Notamacropus eugenii: one gene and its partner. The protein of the gene in region 1 interacts with the protein of each later gene in a biochemical or structural test. Links are inferred from orthologs where the notes say so. Each region holds a gene or a part of one and is shown in the gene's direction. Other genes may lie near its edges.

Region 1 (9,801 bases):
AGAAGATGAATTTGGGAGTAAGAGAGGGACTTGGACTCATAGAAAATACTTTTTCCTAATTGCATGGCAACCTCATCTCTTCCTTCTATTCAATTCTGGGCTCTACTTGGCATTACACTTTGGCACCTATCCCTGATAAAATGTTATCTCCTTGAGGCTGTGTGGTACAGGCTTCAAGATATAGGTTCAGATAATGCTGCTGATGTTTAACAGCTGTGTAATCTCTCTGGGACATTATCTGAGGTATTGTTTTCAGTTCTGGACACCATGGTAAGCTAGAAGAAAACACAGGCTCAGCTGAAGGAACTAGATCTATTTAGTCTGAGATGAGAAGACTTAGTGAGTACATGATAGTGATCTCAAAAGTATTTGAAGGGCTGTTCTATGAAGGAGGGACTAGATTTGGCCCTACAGAACAAAGCTCGCAGAAATAAAAGTTGTACAGAGGACAGTTTTGACTTGAGGGAAGGAAAAAACATTTAAATAATTAGAGCAGTCCCCAAGTAGTGAAAGGCTTCCGGAGGTGATGGGTCCTCTCTCCTTGGAGAGTCAGGTATGTTATAGTGGGGATCCCTTCCATGTATGGATTGGACTAATGGATGAAGTCCCTTTCAACTCTCAAATTCTGTGGTTTTTCCCTTTTTTCCCTTGAGGTAATCACCCCTATCTCACTGGGATCAAGTGACATAATATTGATAAAAGTGCTTTATGCCATGCCTGACACACAGTAGGTATTATATAAATGCTTATTTCCTTCCCTTTCTTATGCCTTCTTTAGAGGTAGAGGTACAGTGGATACAGAGCTGGCCTTAGAGTCAGGAAGATCTGAGTTTAAATTTAGCCTCAGCCTCTTACTGATAAGTAACTTAACCTCTGCCTCAGTTTTCTCAATTGCAAAATGTGGTTAATAGGACCTACTTACCAGCATAAAATGAGATAACATTTATAAAAATCACTTAGTTCACTGTCTGGCACACAGTAGATACGATATAAATGCCAATCTCTTTCCTTTTTCTAGGTGCTGCATTTGTTTACTTTTCTTGTATTTCTGTTGTCTGAATTGGGTGTTTGCAAAGTAAATCATCTCTTTAGGTTTGTTTTTGTTTGTTTTGTAGGAATGGTTCAAGTACCTCTTTTAAAATTATATTTCCATTTTTTTTCATTAATGTTAGGCTAAAGTTTGCAGAGTGTGTCACTATGTATCTTAAAGAGCATCCTTTTTGCTCTTTGGAATACATTATTCCATTCTGTTTTGTGGTTTCTAGGGGATACAGAATAGTCTTATATTATTTGAATTTCCTTTCAGTCATATTTGAAGATATTTCTCCTGGTCGTTTGTAGATTTTTTTTGTTATTGGAATTGCTAAACTTTTGCTATCATGTGTCATGGAGTTTGTAGCATAGGTGTTCTGGTTTTTTTTTTCCTGGAGGTGATCTGTGGATTCTTTCACTTGACGCTTTTTTTTTTTTAATTCAAAAGCTCTGGCCAATTTTCTTGTATTATTTCTTGAATTATTATGTTCAGTTTTTTTCTACTCGTATTCTTTTGGGAAACCTATAATTTTGATGTTGTATGCATGTATTCTATCCTTGAAATCAATGTATTTTGCTTGTATAGACATCACTTTCTTTTAACATTCTCGCTTTTTGTCTCCTTTCTTTCCAGAGTTCTTTACTTCTGTGTATTTGAATTGCCAATCAGTTGCTTCCTCTTTGGTGAGGTTTGGCATTCAAATTTTTCTATTCTGCCAATTATTCTGATGAGCAGGCCATAAATTCTGCTTTCATAATTCTCATTTTCTCTGAAATTATTTGGGAATACCCTATTGAGGCTCCAAGTTTTCTTGGGAATCCATAGCATCCTCTGCATCATCAGATATTGATTTATTATTATTTATTATTATTATTTATTGATTTATTTTTCTTTGTTCTGAAATATTTATTAATAGATGTCCGGACTCATTTAAATGATATAGGGGCCATATTCTCTTCTCTTATTAATATTTTTCTTATTAATTTATCTGCATATGCTCAAGATCCTTCATTGAATTTCCTACCTTCTGAGATCTTTGGTAATTCAAATCCTTTTCTCTTATATCCCATTACTGTTCACTTTCTGACTCCTTCTTTGATGGTGTCTTCCCTGGGATCTGGATCTTCAAGCTGTCTCTGCTTTCTTTCATATTGGCTAATTCATGCTTTGCTGGCCTCCAAGTGACCTTTAGAGGGATAGAACCAGACACCTCTGGAGACCAGTCTGCCCCTTTTTCAGTCCTTGTGACTGGGTCTCCAGATTTGCCCCAGGTCCCTCTTTTCCTTAGTTTTCTGAATGAGCATTGAGTGATAGGCTGCCATCCCAGCCAAAGTCAATTTCTGACTTTTGATTTTCCACATCACAGGGAGGTAAGGCATAGAACGGAGTTTTGTTGGAAGCCTGTGGGCCAACTTGTGCTACCTTGCCAGAGCGTGGTGGCCAGTGGGAGAATGGGAGTTAAATAAATTTATCAGGGATGAGGAATTAGCTTTTGTCTACTATTCACTGAGTTGTTACCTCATTCAGTTTCTTGGTGTCTTGGACTTGGGAGACAACCTCAATTGCTTTATCTTTTGCATACATTTTGGAGAGGTTGGAGAGGCTTAAGAGGTAATGAGGATGGGGGAAAAGGGTCTATTCTTTCATCTCAACCCAAAAGCTGAGGTTAAACTCCTTAACGGAAAAAGTTCTTCATACTCTTCTGCCTTGCACAGGACTAGACACATTATGCAGGAGTGTGTGGGTTCTATGTGTCAAAATAAAATACATTTATTGACTTATGCAATAGATTTTACAGCTTTTTACGTTTAATAAGACTTTTAATATGAAATACATTCTCATTTTGCCTTAATCACTTATTTTACTTGATTTTGAATTGAGTTCATCAAATATTGACATATATTCTTTAATTCTTCTTCATGAAACCACAGATCACACAAGGTGCTATGTGTACTTTCGATAAGCATTCATTTTTCCAAGTCTAGCTTTGCTTATATCAAGTTCCCAGGCCACTGAAATACTGGATAAATTTTTTAATCTTTGGCCATGTGTGTGACATGGTTCAAAATGGCAGAATTCCATCTCCATTTGGGAATTTTTGTAATTCCAGAACAGCTCTACTTCTCTATGTATCAAACCTCACTTGCTCACTGTTTGGGTTTTGATGGCTCAGACTGAGTATAAATAGAAATTGTTTATGTTTCAGCTAGAAACTCTGAGGATCTTCTCCTCCCAAATCAATTGTTTCGTGAAGGCAAGTCAGGCCATCGTTTGCCTTAATTCTTACCTAGCCTTAAATTACTGAATGGGTGTTGACTCAGACAAACTGAGACCTGGAAAAGACCTTCGCTTTAAAAGACCAAGGTCTCTGACTCTGGATGAGAGAGTGAGGCTGATGACTTTGCACAGCTCTGCTGCACTTAAATCTAATTTACTTGCAAGTTGAGACATTACCCTCCTGATGTCCTTTGGTCCTCTGAGAGTGAAGGATGAGCAACAACTGCGATGCCTTGAACAGTTATTGAAATGCTCTCTTTTAGAGCTACATTTCCTTGGAGTAACATCCATTCTTAAAAACCAGGAAATTAGACCAGCAAAAAGAGAAATAAAATACGTGTGTTTGGCACAGAACCAGCTTCAGATGGGGAAACCACTCAGTGTCATTTCACCTGAGTCAGTCTAGTGTCAAGAGAAGTACATATGTATGAATATTATATTATTATACATTCAGGTAATTAGCAACTAACTAGATAGATGCTGTTTGACTGATTGATCATCAAATATTTTGTCACATTCAACCCCAGACCTCCAGATGACTAAGTACCATCACCACCACCACCACCATCACCATATTCACCACTATTATAACACCATAACCACCACTATCATCTCCATTACCACCTTTACCACCATCATCACCTTCACCACTATCACCATCATCAGTCACCACCTTCACTACCATCCCCACCACCACCACCATCAACATTGCTACCTTTACCACCTTCACCACCTTTACACCCACCATCTCTACCTTCACCACTACCATCACTGCCATCATCACCACTACCATCACCACCGTCATCACTATTATTAGCTGATATTCACCTAGGGCTTTAATGAGAATATAGATTTAGAGCTGGAAGGGACCATAGAACCCATTTTAGAAATTGAGGTACAAGGAAATTAAGTGACTCATTCAAGCTCATAAATCTATGAAGTTTTAGAGGAAGGTTTTGGAAGAGAGTGCTCTGATGCCAGAGTCATTTTAACAAGTATGATGTATTATCCGAGTCTCACAACAACCATCCATGGTAAATATTATTTCCATTTTATGAATGAAAAAACTAGGGCTTGCATAGGTTAAATGATTTTCCTCTGGTCACACAGTTAGGATATAGAACTTAAATCCAGAACTTTCCTCTTATCCATTTGACTATACGATGCTGACTCTCCAGACTTTGTCATAGGGTCATAGATTTAGAGCTGAAAGGGACTTTAGGAACCATTTAGTCATCTCTTTTCATTTTATAGATGAAGAGACTGAGGCCCTGAGAAGTTAAATGACTTGCCCAAGGTCATATAGTAAATGGTAGAGACAAGATTTGAACATGGTTCTATGACTCTATACCAAGCTATTTCCACTGCAAAATTCTCTCTCTAAGGAGACAAATTCAAGTCCAGCCTCTATCACTCACTATGTGAATGTAAGAGTTGTTCCTCACATCTGAGCCTCAGTTTCTTGATCTGTAAAATAAGGACTGTAATACCTATAATAACCTACCTTATAAGGCTGGCATGGAGGGGAGCCTATATAAATGGGAGATGTTGCTAGCAACAGCTCACTCTTGTATACCATCTTAGTGCTATTGAGGAAAAACTGTCGTTACTTGTGGTATACTGGTCTTTCATATCTTAGCCATTGTCAATGTGTCTTGAGGACTAGAGCTTGGGAACAGCTGTGACAGGCAAGTACTTCACTCCGTTGAGCAGACCCTGCCTGACAGGATTATCTGGGCTGTTTCCCTGAGCTCTCCCAACCCTCTGTGTCCTCCCTCTTGCAATGGGAATGCTTGAACCACTTCCTTTGGCTAGACGTCACTCTCCTAACCCCTAGAGAGATCTCTGGCCCCAGAGAGACGTGGCCAGACAACGTGGTTGGCTCAGAGTAAACCTAGAAAAGCAGCTTTCGGTGTTCTGAATAGACTGCCAATGTGCCAGGAACTGAGCTAAGGACTGAGGTTACAAAGAAAGAGGATAAGACCCTGCTATTCTAGAGTTAGAGGACCTGAGTTTGGATTTGGGTTTTACGACTTAATGCCAGGGGATCATAGATTTTAACTTAACCGTGGACCTCAGAGACCAAGTAGTCCAATCCTTTTCATGCTTTAGATGATTGACAAGTTGAGATGGTTTGCCCAAGGTTACACAGAGGCTAGGTGCGTGGACGAGCCTTGAACCCAGGTCAGTTGAATTGACCCTAGTTTCCTCATTTACAAAATGAGGAACTAGGTTACCTCTAAGATCTTTTACAGAAAAAAAAAAACAAAAACAAAAACCAGAAACCGGCCTTCTTATGCCTGAGTTAAATGAGGTCGGGCTGGGCACTGTTATTTTCCCAGAAGGCACGGGTCAACCATAGTAATAACGCGATTATCAATAATACCAGGGCACCTCTTTTCCAGCTCTAACACTGTGATCCTATTAATCAGACTGAAAGCAGCCCTGAGGCTCCAGTCCCTCAGAATTACGGGTGAACTGGTAAACAGAATCACTCCTTCACTTAGGGTCTCTCTCTTACGTCTTTCCAAGTCTCCCAGTTCCTGGAAACCCAACGAAATCTTATCCTTCCCCAATCTCTTTTGGTCCAAAGGTGCGAAGGATGGGGGAAGAGGGGGGGGGGTGGCGGTTGGGGGAAAAGGGAGGGGAGGGACAATCCGCGCCCAACCGAGAGGAGGGCTCTTTCGAAGTTACTGAACAGCCCCGCGCTGGGCCCCACGCAGTGCCGGGAAACCGTGCCTTGGTTTGCAAGTCCGTGGCGGCTTCCCGCCTGGTGGCTGCCTGGCTCAGAGCTGTGGCTGGGGTCGCGGCTGGGGCTAGGCTGGCCAGCAGGCAGCAGCCTCAAGCGGATACCCCGGGAGGGGCGGAGCACAGCTGAGCAGAGCGCTCCGGGGCTGCAGCGCGCACAGCACCTGGACTTGGGCTTCGCGTGTGCGCCCGCCCGCCGCCCGCTAGCTCCATTCAATTGGTGTATAGCTCAGGGTCCCCCGGCGGGTGGCTGAAAGGGCTCCCCTCGTGCTCGCTCGCGGACGCGTCAGGCTGTCGGGGAGTCCAGGCTCGATCGCCCCAACTCCTTTTTCTCCTCCTTCTCCTCCTCCTCCTCCTTGGTGACGTTCTAGCTGGGCAGACCATGACTAGACGGAGCGCTGCCCTGGGGCTGCTGCTCCTTGGAGTGGTCGGGGCCCTCCCGCAGGTAAGTCAGTGCTGATTCTCCCCGGAGATCCTGGGACATGCAGGACTGGTTGGGCCGCACTGGCCAAGCTTCCTTCCCCGTCCCCTTACTCTGGCTCCAGAGTGCTGCTGTGGACTGAGACAGCGTGGTGTGGTAGAAAGTGTGTTTAACAGGGTCGGTAGGCTGGGGTTCGAATCTGGTTACTGTCATTTACCCGAACATGTGCGTGAATTTTGGGTATCTTAATTTTCTCCTACCCTGTGAGGCAACAGTAGCAGAGAGTGGGGGATTCTGGATAGAGAAGCAGCCTCGGCACTGGAGAGCATGAGACAGCTGAGCTACCCGACATTGGTCCCGGGTTCTCAAGGTTACTTATCTATGTTCAGTAACCACAGCACTCAGGAGTCCAGTTCCGTAGGTCTTCCCCTCAGTTTCCTGATTCATAAAATGGGGTTAATAATCTCTGCCTGCCTTGGTCACGGGGCTGATAAGAGTGGGGTTAGTGAAAAGAGACTCAGGACCCGAGTTCGAATTCCGACTCTGCTACCTACTAACTTTGGCCTGATCGCTTAATCTCTCTGTGAACCTAGCCAGGCTCTGAATTCTGGCTTGACCCCTTTGCATAGTTGAGTGTAAAGAATCCTAACCTTGATTTCACAGGACCTGCACTGGAATCCTGTCTTTTCCATTTATGACTGCTGTGACTTTGGAAAAGTCCCTGAATCTCTCTCTAGGTCTCAGTTTCCTGATTTGAAAAATGGAGGAGGGGTGGTTGGACCAAATAATCTTCCAGTTCTGAATCTATGATGTTTTGTCCTTGCTCAAGTTACATCTTACCCTTTTCTATAAAATGGGGATGATATTACTTGGCACTGACTCCCTGACGGGACCGTTGTGAAGACATGTGGCAAATCTTAAGGAAGTACTTGTGGTGGAAAGCACTGACTTTAGAGTCGGAGAGCTTGAGCTCAAATCTCTGCCCTGCGTATTAGTATGTGACCACGATAAGTTACTTAGTACCTCGGGGCTTCTGTTTCCTTTCTGGAATTCCAGTAATAGCCAGATCATTCCGCCTGCTAATGTACAAAGTACAATTACATACAAATGGTCAAAGCATCCACGGTCTTCCAAGCCTGAGACTTGAACTAAACCGCCACATCTAATCCCCATCACGTCAGGTTGTACTGGCTTTGAGAAAGACATGTGGCCAAGAGATTTTTCTATTCCTGCAACAGATGCACAAGGACCTGGTGTCAGTTGTGTGTCACACACAATCGCGTATGTGTAAATTACATGTGTGAGTGTGAGATGAGGGCTCAGAGCCCAGGTTTCATGGATTAGGACCAAAGAACCTTACAGGTCATCTCATTTTACAGATAAGGAAACTGAGGCTTAGATTAAGTGACTTGTCCAAGATCACATTGGCAGCATTTGAACTCAAGTTCCAGCTTTGTCTAATATAACAACTGCCTTCCAGGGTTGGATTAGATGACCTGTAAGTTCGTTCTTTCCAAGTAGGTTGTTTTCAGAGAAGTTTTTGATTTCCGGCAGGAGCCCACCAGAGGACATTTTATCTCTGCCTCTGAGTTTCTCTCCACTTGCTTCATTCCTTATTTCTATATAGCACAATAGTCAGTTGAGGGATGGCTCTTGAGTGAAGAAGGAGTAGGTGAGGTGGAAGGTGAAGGTGAAAAAGAACCAGGGGTATCACTAAAGATAAACTCGAGGGGTGACCAAGTATGAACCCTGCAGACAACCCCATGTAGTCCTGAACTCTTCTGGAGCTGGGACCCCTTGCCTTCCAGTAAGTAATTGCTTAGCCCATCCCATTACCCTTTAGGGCTTTTAACAGCACCCCCTGCCCCCACTCCTCCACCACCAAGTTCTGAACTTGAGCATAAACCAGAAGTTGTAGGCTTAAGAATTGGGGTTTGCTGAACTGTTAGCTTATTTTATGACTTTGAGAGGTACTGGCTTCCCACAGCTCTGTGATTCCCCAGGGCCAAGAACTGCAGGTTGTTTTTAGCAAAATTTTGACTTCTCTCTATAAGGCATGAGGAAACACAACACTATGAGGAAAAATAATGATCCCTGCTCTCAAGTAATTTATAGTTTTCTAGGGGTGGATCAGAAGTAATGGTGGCCAAGAAAAGCTACTGTAATCTTGGGTCATATTGAGAAAGGCTTAGTTTCCAGAAATTGGAACCACATGGACTCAGCCCAGGACAGACAGCACCTTGAGTATTATGTTCAGTTCTTGCACAGTTTAGGAGGGACCTGGATAAAGTAGAGAGTGTCCAGAGAAGGACAAGCAAGGGGGCCCCAATTCATTCCCAGTGAGGATTGGTTAAAGGAGCTGGAGAGAGTTAGATTGGAGAAGAGATAGCTCCAGAAGGAGATGGCAGTTGTTTTCATATACTTGTAAGATTGTCATGTGCAAGAACAGTTAGATTTACTTGGTTTGACCCCAGAAGGCAGATCCAGTGGGATTATAGAGGAAGTTACAGAGAGACAGATTTAGGCTCCACATCAAGAGGAGCTTAATGAACAAAGAGCTGAGTGGAATGGGCTGTTTAGAGAGAAGGTGAGATCCTCCACTCCTCCACTTTGGTATTCAAACCAAAGCCAGATGACCTGCTGTGGAGTATGCTCAAGAGGGGATTCTTTTTGGGGTATGAGGTGTACTCAATGGTTCCTGCAGTGCCATCATCTCTGAAATTCTCTGATCCTGGGATTTTATCTGACATACCCAGATCAATACAGTAGGCTTCAAGATTTAAAATTAGAAGGGGCTTCGAAGATCACTGGGTCCAACCCCTTTATTCTTCAGACAAGGAGATTGAGGTCCAGGAGGTTGGTGACTTATCCAACATTGCACAGGTAGTGAACAGAAGAAGGAAGATATGATCCGAGGACCATTTTACTGTTCTATCTGCTTTAGAATGTGACCCAAACAATGTGCTGTCTTCTCTAGAAGGACATCCAGGTCAAAGGAGGGTCTGAGACAAAGAAAGAGTAGGAGGGAAAGGAGTGTCTGCTCTCAATCAGCTTTTTATAACGGAAACGGAACATGTGGGCAGTGTGGTAACAGTAGAAAGAACACAGGCTTTAGAATTTGTGGTTCAAAGCTGGGCTCCACCATTTACTCCCTCAATGACTGAGGGCAAGTCACTTATCCACTGCACCTCAGTTTCCCCAACTGTAAAATGAAGGAGTTGGATGAGTTTTGTGTCTTAAATCCCTTACAGTTCTAGATCAAAGATCCTACTATGAATAGACAGTCTGTTAAAACTCTTTCAAGATCTAATCTATAAGCTCA
Region 2 (9,765 bases), on another chromosome or scaffold:
CCCACAAGGAGCTCCCATTCTAATGGGGGAGATAAATGTAAATAACTAACTATACACAAGATATATACAGGGTAGCTGGAGGTAATCTCTGAAGGGAAGTCATTAGAAGCTAAGAAAATCTGAGAAGGCGATGTGCAGAAGGAAGGACTTGAGCTGAATATTAAGGAAGCCAAGGAAAGTGCCGAGGAGAGAAGAGGGTCAGCTGGATCACAGCGTACAGGGAAAGGAATAAAGTATAAAAAGATTAGAAAGGGGTCAGGTTATGGAGAGCTTGAAATGTCAAATAATTTTATATTTGATCCTTGGTATCATAGGGAACCACTGGAGTTTATTAAGTAAGAGGTCAGACCAAAACTTCAGAAGAAAAAATCATTTTGGGCAGTCAAGAGGAGGATGAATTGGAGTGGAGAGATATTGGAAGCATGGAGATCAATTAGAAGGATAAAGCTATTAACTGCCAAATCTAATAGCCTTTTCTCAGTCTTCATCCTACTTGACTTCCCTATAGCCTTTGATACCCTTTTCCCTTTAATATTCTCTTGTCTCTTGGATCATTTCTCGCTTCTGTTTCTCTTCCTGCCTGTCTGATCACTTCTTCTATCTTTACTGGATCACCATTGAGATTATACCTGCTTACATTGCAGGGGGTGGGAAGGGGGTGTCTCAGAGGACTCTGTCCTGGGGTCTCTTTTCTTCTTCCTTTAGGTTATTTCACTTGATAATCTCATCAGTTCCCATGGATTCAATTTTTATCTCTAAACAAATCATTCTCAAATCTACTTATCTAGCCCTACCCTCTCTTCTGACCTTCAGTCTCATATCTCCAGCTGCCTATTAGACATCTCAAATTGGATGTCCTATGTACATCTTAAACTCAACATGACCAAAACAGAATTCTTTATCTTTTCCCTAAAAATCCTCCCTTCTTCCTAATTTCTCTATTGAGGACACAGTTAACCTGCCAGGCTCACAACCTAGTATTATTCTCAATTTTTCACTCTTTTTTGCCTCCCATATCCAATCATTTGCCATTTATATTTGTTTCTGGCTGTGCAACATCTTTCTTATATAATTATCCCTTCCACACTTGAGGGGTTAGGGGTATGGTGCCCTCGTGACCTAGAAAATCTTCATAAAAATTTTTTACCCTCCTTTGTTCCATAGAAGAAATCTGAAATTTTTTCTTTCTCTGTTATGGGTATTTATGGTACTTCATTGTAAAACTAGAGTTAAGCATTTGGTCATAGACTCTGTGTTGTCTGCTGGCCTTTGTGTGTCATCTGTGGCTTCCACTAAACTCCTGCCAAATTCCCAAATTCCCATTTAATTTCATATGATATGTTGAAATCATGGCAGGGCAAGTAGTGATATGGAAGAGATAATTATATACTTCTCTCCTCTGATATGATTTATTGCCTCGTTGCTCATTTCATCATTCCTGGACTATGGTGATACCCTTCTGACTGATCTTCCTGCCTCCATCTTTCACAGTCCTCCGCTTAGTTATCAAATTGATCTTCCTAACGCTCAAATCTGACCATGTCACCTACCTCTCTTCCAATTCAATAAACTCCAATGACTGGAACTCTCTTTTTCTCTCCACCTCCTAGACTCCCTGACATCCTTCAAATCTCAGGTAAAGTCCTATTTCTGCAAGGTCCTTTTAATTCTTGTTAATTTTGAAGTCTTCCCTCTGGTATTATCTCCAGTTTATCCTGTATATAGTTCATTCGTACATAGTTTTCTGAATGTTGTACTCCCATTAGACTGTGGACACTTTGAAAGTCAGGACTATTTTTTTGCCGTTTTTGTATCAGCAGGGCTTAGCACAGTGACTGGCACATGGTAAATGCTTGTTGACTAGACTTAGCCAGGTTATTATTATTAATGATAATACTTTATTATTGTAGATTTACCCATTGAATAAACATTTATTAAATATCTACTATGTACAGAGCACTGTACTATGTGCTCACTTACTGTTAGTTCTGTATAAGCAGATAGAAAGTTTAGGTACAATGTACTCCCTATCCTGACTTCATAGAATCTACAGCACACAAGGAGATAAGATGCATACACAGACAACTGTCATACAAACAATTAGAGGGAACAGGTCCAAGAGAGGTACAAGGTACCATGTGAGATTTGAGGGGAAGGGTCATGACAGAGGAGGGGATCCAGAATCAGAGTAAACTTCATGAAGAATGTGGCATTTCAGTTATTCTCTTTTTACTTTTTGGTTCAGTCATTTCAGTCATGTCCAACTCTTGGTGACCCCATTTGGGGTTTTCTTGCCAATGATACTGGAGTGGTTTGTCATTTCCTTCTCCAGTTGATTTTACAGATGAGGAAAATGAGGCAAACAAGGTCCCAGGGTCACACAGCTAGTAAATGTTATAAGTCAGATTTAAACTCAGGAAGACAAGTCTTCTGGACTCTAGGTCCAGCACTATATGCATCGCACAATCTAGCTGCCCTAGAGTTAGCCTCTACAAGAGAGAAATGAATTCACCAGGTAAAGGGGAAAAGAAAGGCTATTCCTAACACAGAGAACAATGCAAGCTAAGTCAGAATGAAACATTTGCATGGGAAACAAAGAATCAAGGACACTGAATGACTCAGTCCTGAGAGATTAAGCTAATTTCTTTCTTTCTAAAGAGAAGCAAGGCAGTATACTGGAAAGAGCCCCTTGCCTTACAGTCAGAACCCCTGGCCTCAAGTTCCAGCTCTGGTAGCAGCAGGCTGAGATACCATGCTGTCCTGGAAAGAGGGCTAGGCCTAGAGTCAGGAGGGGCCTGGGTTCAAATCCTGAGTCTAACACTTCCCATTTGTGAAACCTCGGCCATGTCACTTATACAGAGCTTCAGCTTCTTCATCTATAAAATGAGAATAATAACACTTCTAATATTTACTGTCCAGGATTGTTGTGAAGAAAGTGTTTTGCCAAACTTAAAGCACTGTGTAAGTGTGTACTGGTATTCTTATTAGCCATGGCAAAGCCTATGGATGACTCTGAGACTGATTTTTCATCTTTCAAAGAGACATAAGAATGTTTGCTTTCTGGACTTCACAGGGCTATCGTAAAGAAGATTCTCATTCTCTCTCTGTGTCTCTCTCTCCCCTCATGTCTGTATGCATATATACGTACATGTGTACATACATGTATATATTGTATTTATCCCTCTGTGTGTAGATATATGTGTGCATATACATATATATATACATATATTTATGTATATAAGTTTTTAATTTGGAGGCAACTGGGGTTAAGTGAGCTGCCCAGGGTCACACAGCTAGTAAATGTCTGAGGCCAGATTTGAACTCAAGTCCTTCTGACCCCAGGACTAGTGCTCTACGGTACCACCTAGCTATTCCAATATTCTGAATATTTTAAAGTGCTATAGAAATGTGAGAGTCAGAATGGCATCATGGAATGCCTACCTCCATATCAAAAAGTTCCAGATAAAAGTCCAGCCTCTGACACATGACTCTATGATCCTGAGCAAATCAATTAACCTCTCACTGCCTGTAGATGCCTCTGTAAGACTTGAAGTTATAGAGAAAGGGTCTGTCTGAGAAGAGCTCCTTACACCAAGGGAATTACAGCCCCAGTCCAAAATTAAAGTAAAGGGAATGTAAACTATTAGCTAAGCTGGGCTTCAGCCGCTGGGTAGACCCTGGGAAAGCCATGGGATCCGAAGGTATTCTCCAAATAAAATCACTTGGAGTGGAATGGGAAGGGTTCAATAAAGAGACAAGATGCCACATTTGAAACCAACTAGCAGATAAGAATTCTGATTCTAAATGCAATTCTAGAAAAAAAACTCAGAGTCTCAGTTGAACGGTTCAGAGAAAATCCAAAACCAAATGTCCAAATATGCCCTAGATAAACCTGTCTACCTGACCTAAAATTTAATTCCAGAAAAAAATTATTCCATGTATATTTGAATCTTGGCAATGAAGTGTGGGAAAATGCAGTTCCAAAGCTCAAATAATGCTACTTTAATTGCTGCAGTTTATTTTTAAAGTATTTGGATAACTTAGTATAGTGAATATGTCAAATAACCCCTTTTGCCAACATCAGGAAGTAAGGAAGGAATACAAGCAAAAAACTTTTAGAACAGTCTGAGGTGGGCAAAGGTATGTTCTCAGTGAGGCATTCAACAGTCATGTATCAACTCCACGTAAGTATTAGGTGTTCTTAGCCTGAGGTCCATGAATTTAGGTTGTTTTTTTTAAGTGTTTGACAATTGTATTTCAATATAATTGGTTTGCTTTGTAATCCTATGTGATTTGTTTCATGCATTTAAAAAAATATTATTGTGAGAAAGGGTCCATAGTCTTCACCAGAATGCCAAAGAGGGAGGTACAGAACACAAAAAAGGTTAATAGTCCCTCCATTACAGCTGAGGAAATCATTCTTCACCCAGAAGACTATTTGGGATGTTTCCAGATTATCTGGTGAAAGCACATTAATTGTTTAAAACTCAGGACCTGTTTTCCATGAAGGTAAAATAGGTGATTAGAACATATGTGGCCTTCTTTTTCAGTCATGTTACTCCTTTGACATGCCAGTGTAGCCAGCACCAAATGATTTCCATAGACCTTGTTTAGTATAGAAAATGTGACAGTACTGCTGCTTAATCTGGTTGACAGCAGACTCAATAACGTCAGATACATTGTTCAGGTGATTTTTTCTGTCAACCAGTTTATTGGTCAATAGTATCTGTTGAGACAATGTTCTCCAATAGCATATTTAACCTAACCCTTGAGATATATTTATTAGAACTTTTTCATAGAACTTCAAAACCAGAATGGATCTTAGATACCTCTTAATCTAATCCCCTCATTTTTATAAGTAGGGAAACTAAGTCCCAGAGAAGGAAAGGGATTGATTCATAGTGAATTGGTGACTGAGCCAGACCTCAGTCCAGTAACCTTCCTATCCTTCCAAAAGTCTCAGAAGGATTTTGTCTATTTATTTCATAGCTTTGAAGCTGAAAAGGACCTTAGAGAATAGTTAGTCAACCCTTCTAGTTTTTTAGCTGAAGATCCCAAGGCTCAGAGAGGTTCAGTGATTTACCCAAGATCACACAGATACCAAAGTAATAGAGGTGGGACTAAAATACAGGTCCTCTCACTCCAGATACAAGACTTTTTCCCACTACTCCAATATGCTTTTAAAGAGAGAGACCCTACAAAAATATGGATAGCTATATGCATACAGATATAGAGTTATAGTCATATACAGAGGGATAGATAACTATATACATAGACATAGATAGATAGATGGATAGATAGATAGATAGAGGGAGAGAGACAGAGAGAGATGCCCATTTTTAATGAGAGATGTCCATTTTTAACCTAACCACAGGTATTAATATTAGTAAAACTAATTCTTTTGAATTATAGGATAACAAAATTTATATCTAAAAGGAACATTAGAGACCATCTAATTCTATCCCATCATTTTACAGGTAAGGAAACTGAGGCCCAGCAAGGGGAAATAACCTTTCCACTGTGAAATCCAGTCTTCCTGACCCCCAAACAGATGTGGGCTTTATGGGTAGGTAACACTTTTAAGTGGAGAGCACCGTGCAGAAATGACTGTCTGGAAGAAGAAAGCATTAGCTGAAGTACTCAGCTGCCACCGCTGGTGACTATAAGTGAAACACAAGTCAGTGCACACAACTTCACACACAAAGGGAGCTGGGGGTGAGCTTGCTTCCCACTTGTCTTCTGACATCAGACCCCTTCAATGTAGCTCACCAGACGACCAGCAACAAAATCCTTGGCAAGAAAATGAATCTCTTTCTCCCATTGCCTGCTGTCTTTCACTTCACGCCCCCAGAGAAGTCTTTCTTCATCCGACAAACAGTGAAGATTTTTTTCCAGGTCACATGATCCAGGATGAAGGGGGAAAATCCTATTTGGAACAGAGATGGCCTGTGAGTCTCAACAGATCAAGGGCGATAAGGTGTGAGGTGGAGGGCGGTGGTATATAAAGAAAGTCCTCTGTACCACGGCAAACGTCCCTCCACCAACTGAATGCTTCTCTTGAGGCAGCCATGAATGTGTCTGAAGGCACAGTCACAAGCCAGCTCAGGGCCACTAGCCGGACTTATTTTTATTTCACCACAGCTGCCCTGGTTCTGTGTCTCATCTTTACTCTGGCAACTATAATGGTCTTAGTAGTTCAGAAGAAGGTAAGTCAATGGCATCCTCTCCCCCTTCTTGTCTTAATTTTTGTTTTGTTTTGTTGTTTTTTGTTCTTCCTGGAGGTATTCTTTGAAAAACCCAATAAATTATTTGAGAGAAACAGTAACAACTCAGAGAGAAAAGAGGAAGCAGATTCTGGCTAAATCATTCGTTTGGCAGGGGCACACTTTTTCGGGTAGTTCCTCAAAAATTTCAGAGAGTTAAGGGAGAGGAGCCCACAGAACAGACAACAAGTTCATGGTGGAAGTGAGGTTGTAAGTCAGCTTTTTAAAAAAGGTCCAGACATAGAGGAATGGAAGGAAGCAATGAGTGCAGTCAACGTGATATCGTAAACATACACTTCTCTTCTATTCCAAAGACTTGACCCTCAAGTGCAAATTAAGACCCATTTAAATGTTTCAAATGTTAAATCCAAAAGTTGATTCCTCTCTAAGGAGGTAAGCCAAGAATTAATTGTCAGGGCAAAATTGCTAATTACTCCCATTTCTTTGTTATGTTAAGGTATTTTTTTCACAATAACTCTATGAGAGAGGCAATGCAGATATTAGGGGTTTTCCTCCAAATTATTGATGGGAACCTGAAAGACTGAGAAATTAGATGCCCACGGTCACATTAGTAGAGAAGACAGGCAATGATGTCCCTGAGAGTTGAAGTGGACGAAAGGCTTTACATGGATGTTTCAATGCTGGACCCTTCTAGAGTGAAAAGGGCTATCTGGAAGGTTTGCTTTGAGGTCCATTCTTGAAAGCTCCCCTGTCATATCTACTACACCCAGGACACCACCCTCCAAAAAAGAGAAAAGTGTTTCTCAGCACCAAAGTAGGTGGAACGTTCCCTCAAGCCTTCCTCAAAATATTCTAATTTTCAATGGTGGTAGTGGAAGGTGTACTATGTACTAGTACCAGTACCATGAACTTTGAGGGCTCCAATGACTTTTCCATGACGACCTTAGTTTTTCTCTACTTAGAACGGAGTCAGAAAAACTATTAAAATATAGTATGTTTGAACCTCGAAATAGTCAGACTGGAAAAGACTTTAAAGATTATCTGGTTCAATCTCCTCATTTTACAAATTGGGAAACCAAAGGTCAGATACTATAAGCAACTTGCCCAATACCAAATCATTTATTCATGTGAAAGCCAGAATTATAACCAGGATCTCCAGACTCCTGTACAGAGTTGTTCTTATTTCATTTCAGTTGAAGGTACTGAGACTCTCACACTTAGCATCTAGGTAAGCATAGACAAATTATTTAATCTCTTGGAGCCCCAGTCTTCTCATTTATAAAATGGGTATTACAGACTCTCAAAATGTGAAAAGACTTTAGGGGTCATCAGTCCCATGTATATTTAGGGAGAAATTTTCTCTAGGGAGAAGAAATATTTGCCTTACCTACCTCACAGGGCTTTGAGGAAAGCGCTTTTTAAACCCTAGGATGCTACATAATTGTGGTCTTCTACTACCACCACAAATACTATTATTATTGTGGAATCATGAAATCCACAAGTATTTAATAAGCTTCTACTATATATCAGAGCACACTGTGCTAGTAAGTGAAATAAAAAGGTAAGAGTTAAACAGTCCTTGTTCTAGAGAAATTTATAATCTAGTAGGAAAAGATAACATATATGTACATAGCTATGTACAAAGAGTGATTTTGGGGGAGGGCACTAACCACTAAAGTGGGAGACAAAAGTTATTAACAACAGAGGAAAAATCAGAAGGAAAAAGTTATGAACTATGAGTCCAAAGCACAATTCTTGTAAAGGAATCTTCCAAACTAAATTTCGTTACTGTTGATAAAACTAAAATCAAAGCAAACTACAGCATGGTCATCATAATGCAATCCAGAGCTCATTATTTTAGAATGCTATTGAGGTGATTCTGAGTTTCATGAAATGTTCTGGTTTTACTGAGTAGCACATGATATACAAGTAGCCAGACATTTCATGGTCCTTCAGGACAAAGGACTGAAAGTTTCTTAAAAATCAGCTGTCTGTGGCCACACCTCATTGTCAGTTTTTGAAAGTCAGGAGCCCAAACTAGATGTGAAAACACATTTCAATAATTGATTTTAATATACCTGGCTTGGTTAAAGGTGATGGCCAATCCCAAATAAAGTTAGACTCCAATCTGTAAGGAAATGACACATTAGTTTTACTTTTAAAGCAGCTTTCTTTGGATTGAGGCTTTCAAAATACTCTAATTATATAGGTTATTGATCACTTGTGGAATAATTAATTAATGTCTATCCTCACATATCAATGGCTATCACAAGAAAATTGAAGTAGTCTTTTTTTCATAGTTTACACGCAACATCATAGGCAGTAATATTTTACTAATGGACCCAGATATTATATCATAATAACAATGTAAATAACCAGGCAGTTGTTGAGAGAGAACTTTTAGCTGGGAATATATTCATCCAAATGGGACAATGCCCTCAAATATCCTAACATGACTTCCGTTCTGAGTCATTGTCACTATGTGTATGTATACACATACATATAAATGCACATGTATATATATGTATACATATATGTATAAAGCTCATCTAATAAAATCAAAGAGGAAGATGGAGATCAATCAGGCAATACAGAGCCAAAAATAATTCCGAAAAATATTCTTGGCATAGGGCTCAAGTTGGTAGGAACCTTAGAGCTGAAAAGACACATTAGAACATACAATGTAAGAATATAGAATGTTGGAAATGGAAGGAACACTAAAATGTAGAACTTTAGAGCTGGAAAGGAGCTTAGAATATAGAATATTAGAGATGGAAGGGACTTTAGAACATGGAATGTTCAGCTGGAAAGCAATCTTAAAGATCCCACTTGGTAATTTTATAGATGGAACTGGGGCTCAGGGGACAAAACAACATTTTGAGGTAGAAGCAGGACTACACCCTAGGTCACCTAATCTAGCATAGTACTCTTTCTATCCTATTATGAATTCTCATTCAATACCATTGTAAACGTTTGTTCTTCTATTTGCTTCAACAGAGAAATGTTTGGGCATTTATTGAGTATGGTTGTCTTATTTCCTAACAAGCAAAGTAGTAGAAATATCCTTAAATCAAACCTTGTGCCCTCTCTTCCATAAGCTGACTTTTCTAGTTGGAAGTATAAATGGATTAGAAAAACTGATTACATGACTGGGGACATTTTTATTTCTTTCCCAGAGAAGTTTCACCTGCTTAGGCTGAAAGACTCTTAGATGGACAATGTGCCAGACTTGAAAGGTTCATTCAAGTGCTTATAGACTAACTGAAAAAAATAAGTCACATACATGCCTAACAATATAGATCATCTATATAGGTAACAATGCCTTCAGTAATGTATGAAGGGAGTCAAATTCACAACATCAATTTCTTGAGGGGTTCAGAGTAGGAAGAAATCTGCAATATGAACTAGAGAGGTCAGGAAAAGCTATATAGAGTAATTAAAACTTGAAATGGTAGTATTTGAATAAACTTTTCCAAAAAATATAGTCATGAATAATTGGGTAATTGGCCAATGGTGTACTCATTAAATAATGTATTAGTGT

What was found.
Region 2: the proteins of TNFRSF8 (region 1) and TNFSF8 form a complex in vitro, tested with the Homo sapiens proteins (2 studies listed by BioGRID and IntAct). The link is inferred for Notamacropus eugenii from reciprocal best matches to the Homo sapiens genes TNFRSF8 and TNFSF8.

The regions. Positions count from the first base shown.
Region 1 is NC_092876.1:51,536,836-51,546,636, forward strand, and holds the start of TNFRSF8 (tumor necrosis factor receptor superfamily member 8), read left to right. Parts: upstream 1-6,057; 5' UTR 6,058-6,440; coding exon 6,441-6,503; intron 6,504-9,801. UniProt on the Homo sapiens protein: Receptor for TNFSF8/CD30L. May play a role in the regulation of cellular growth and transformation of activated lymphoblasts. Regulates gene expression through activation of NF-kappa-B.
Region 2 is NC_092872.1:434,232,802-434,242,566, reverse strand, and holds the start of TNFSF8 (tumor necrosis factor ligand superfamily member 8), read left to right. Parts: upstream 1-5,850; 5' UTR 5,851-6,068; coding exon 6,069-6,206; intron 6,207-9,765.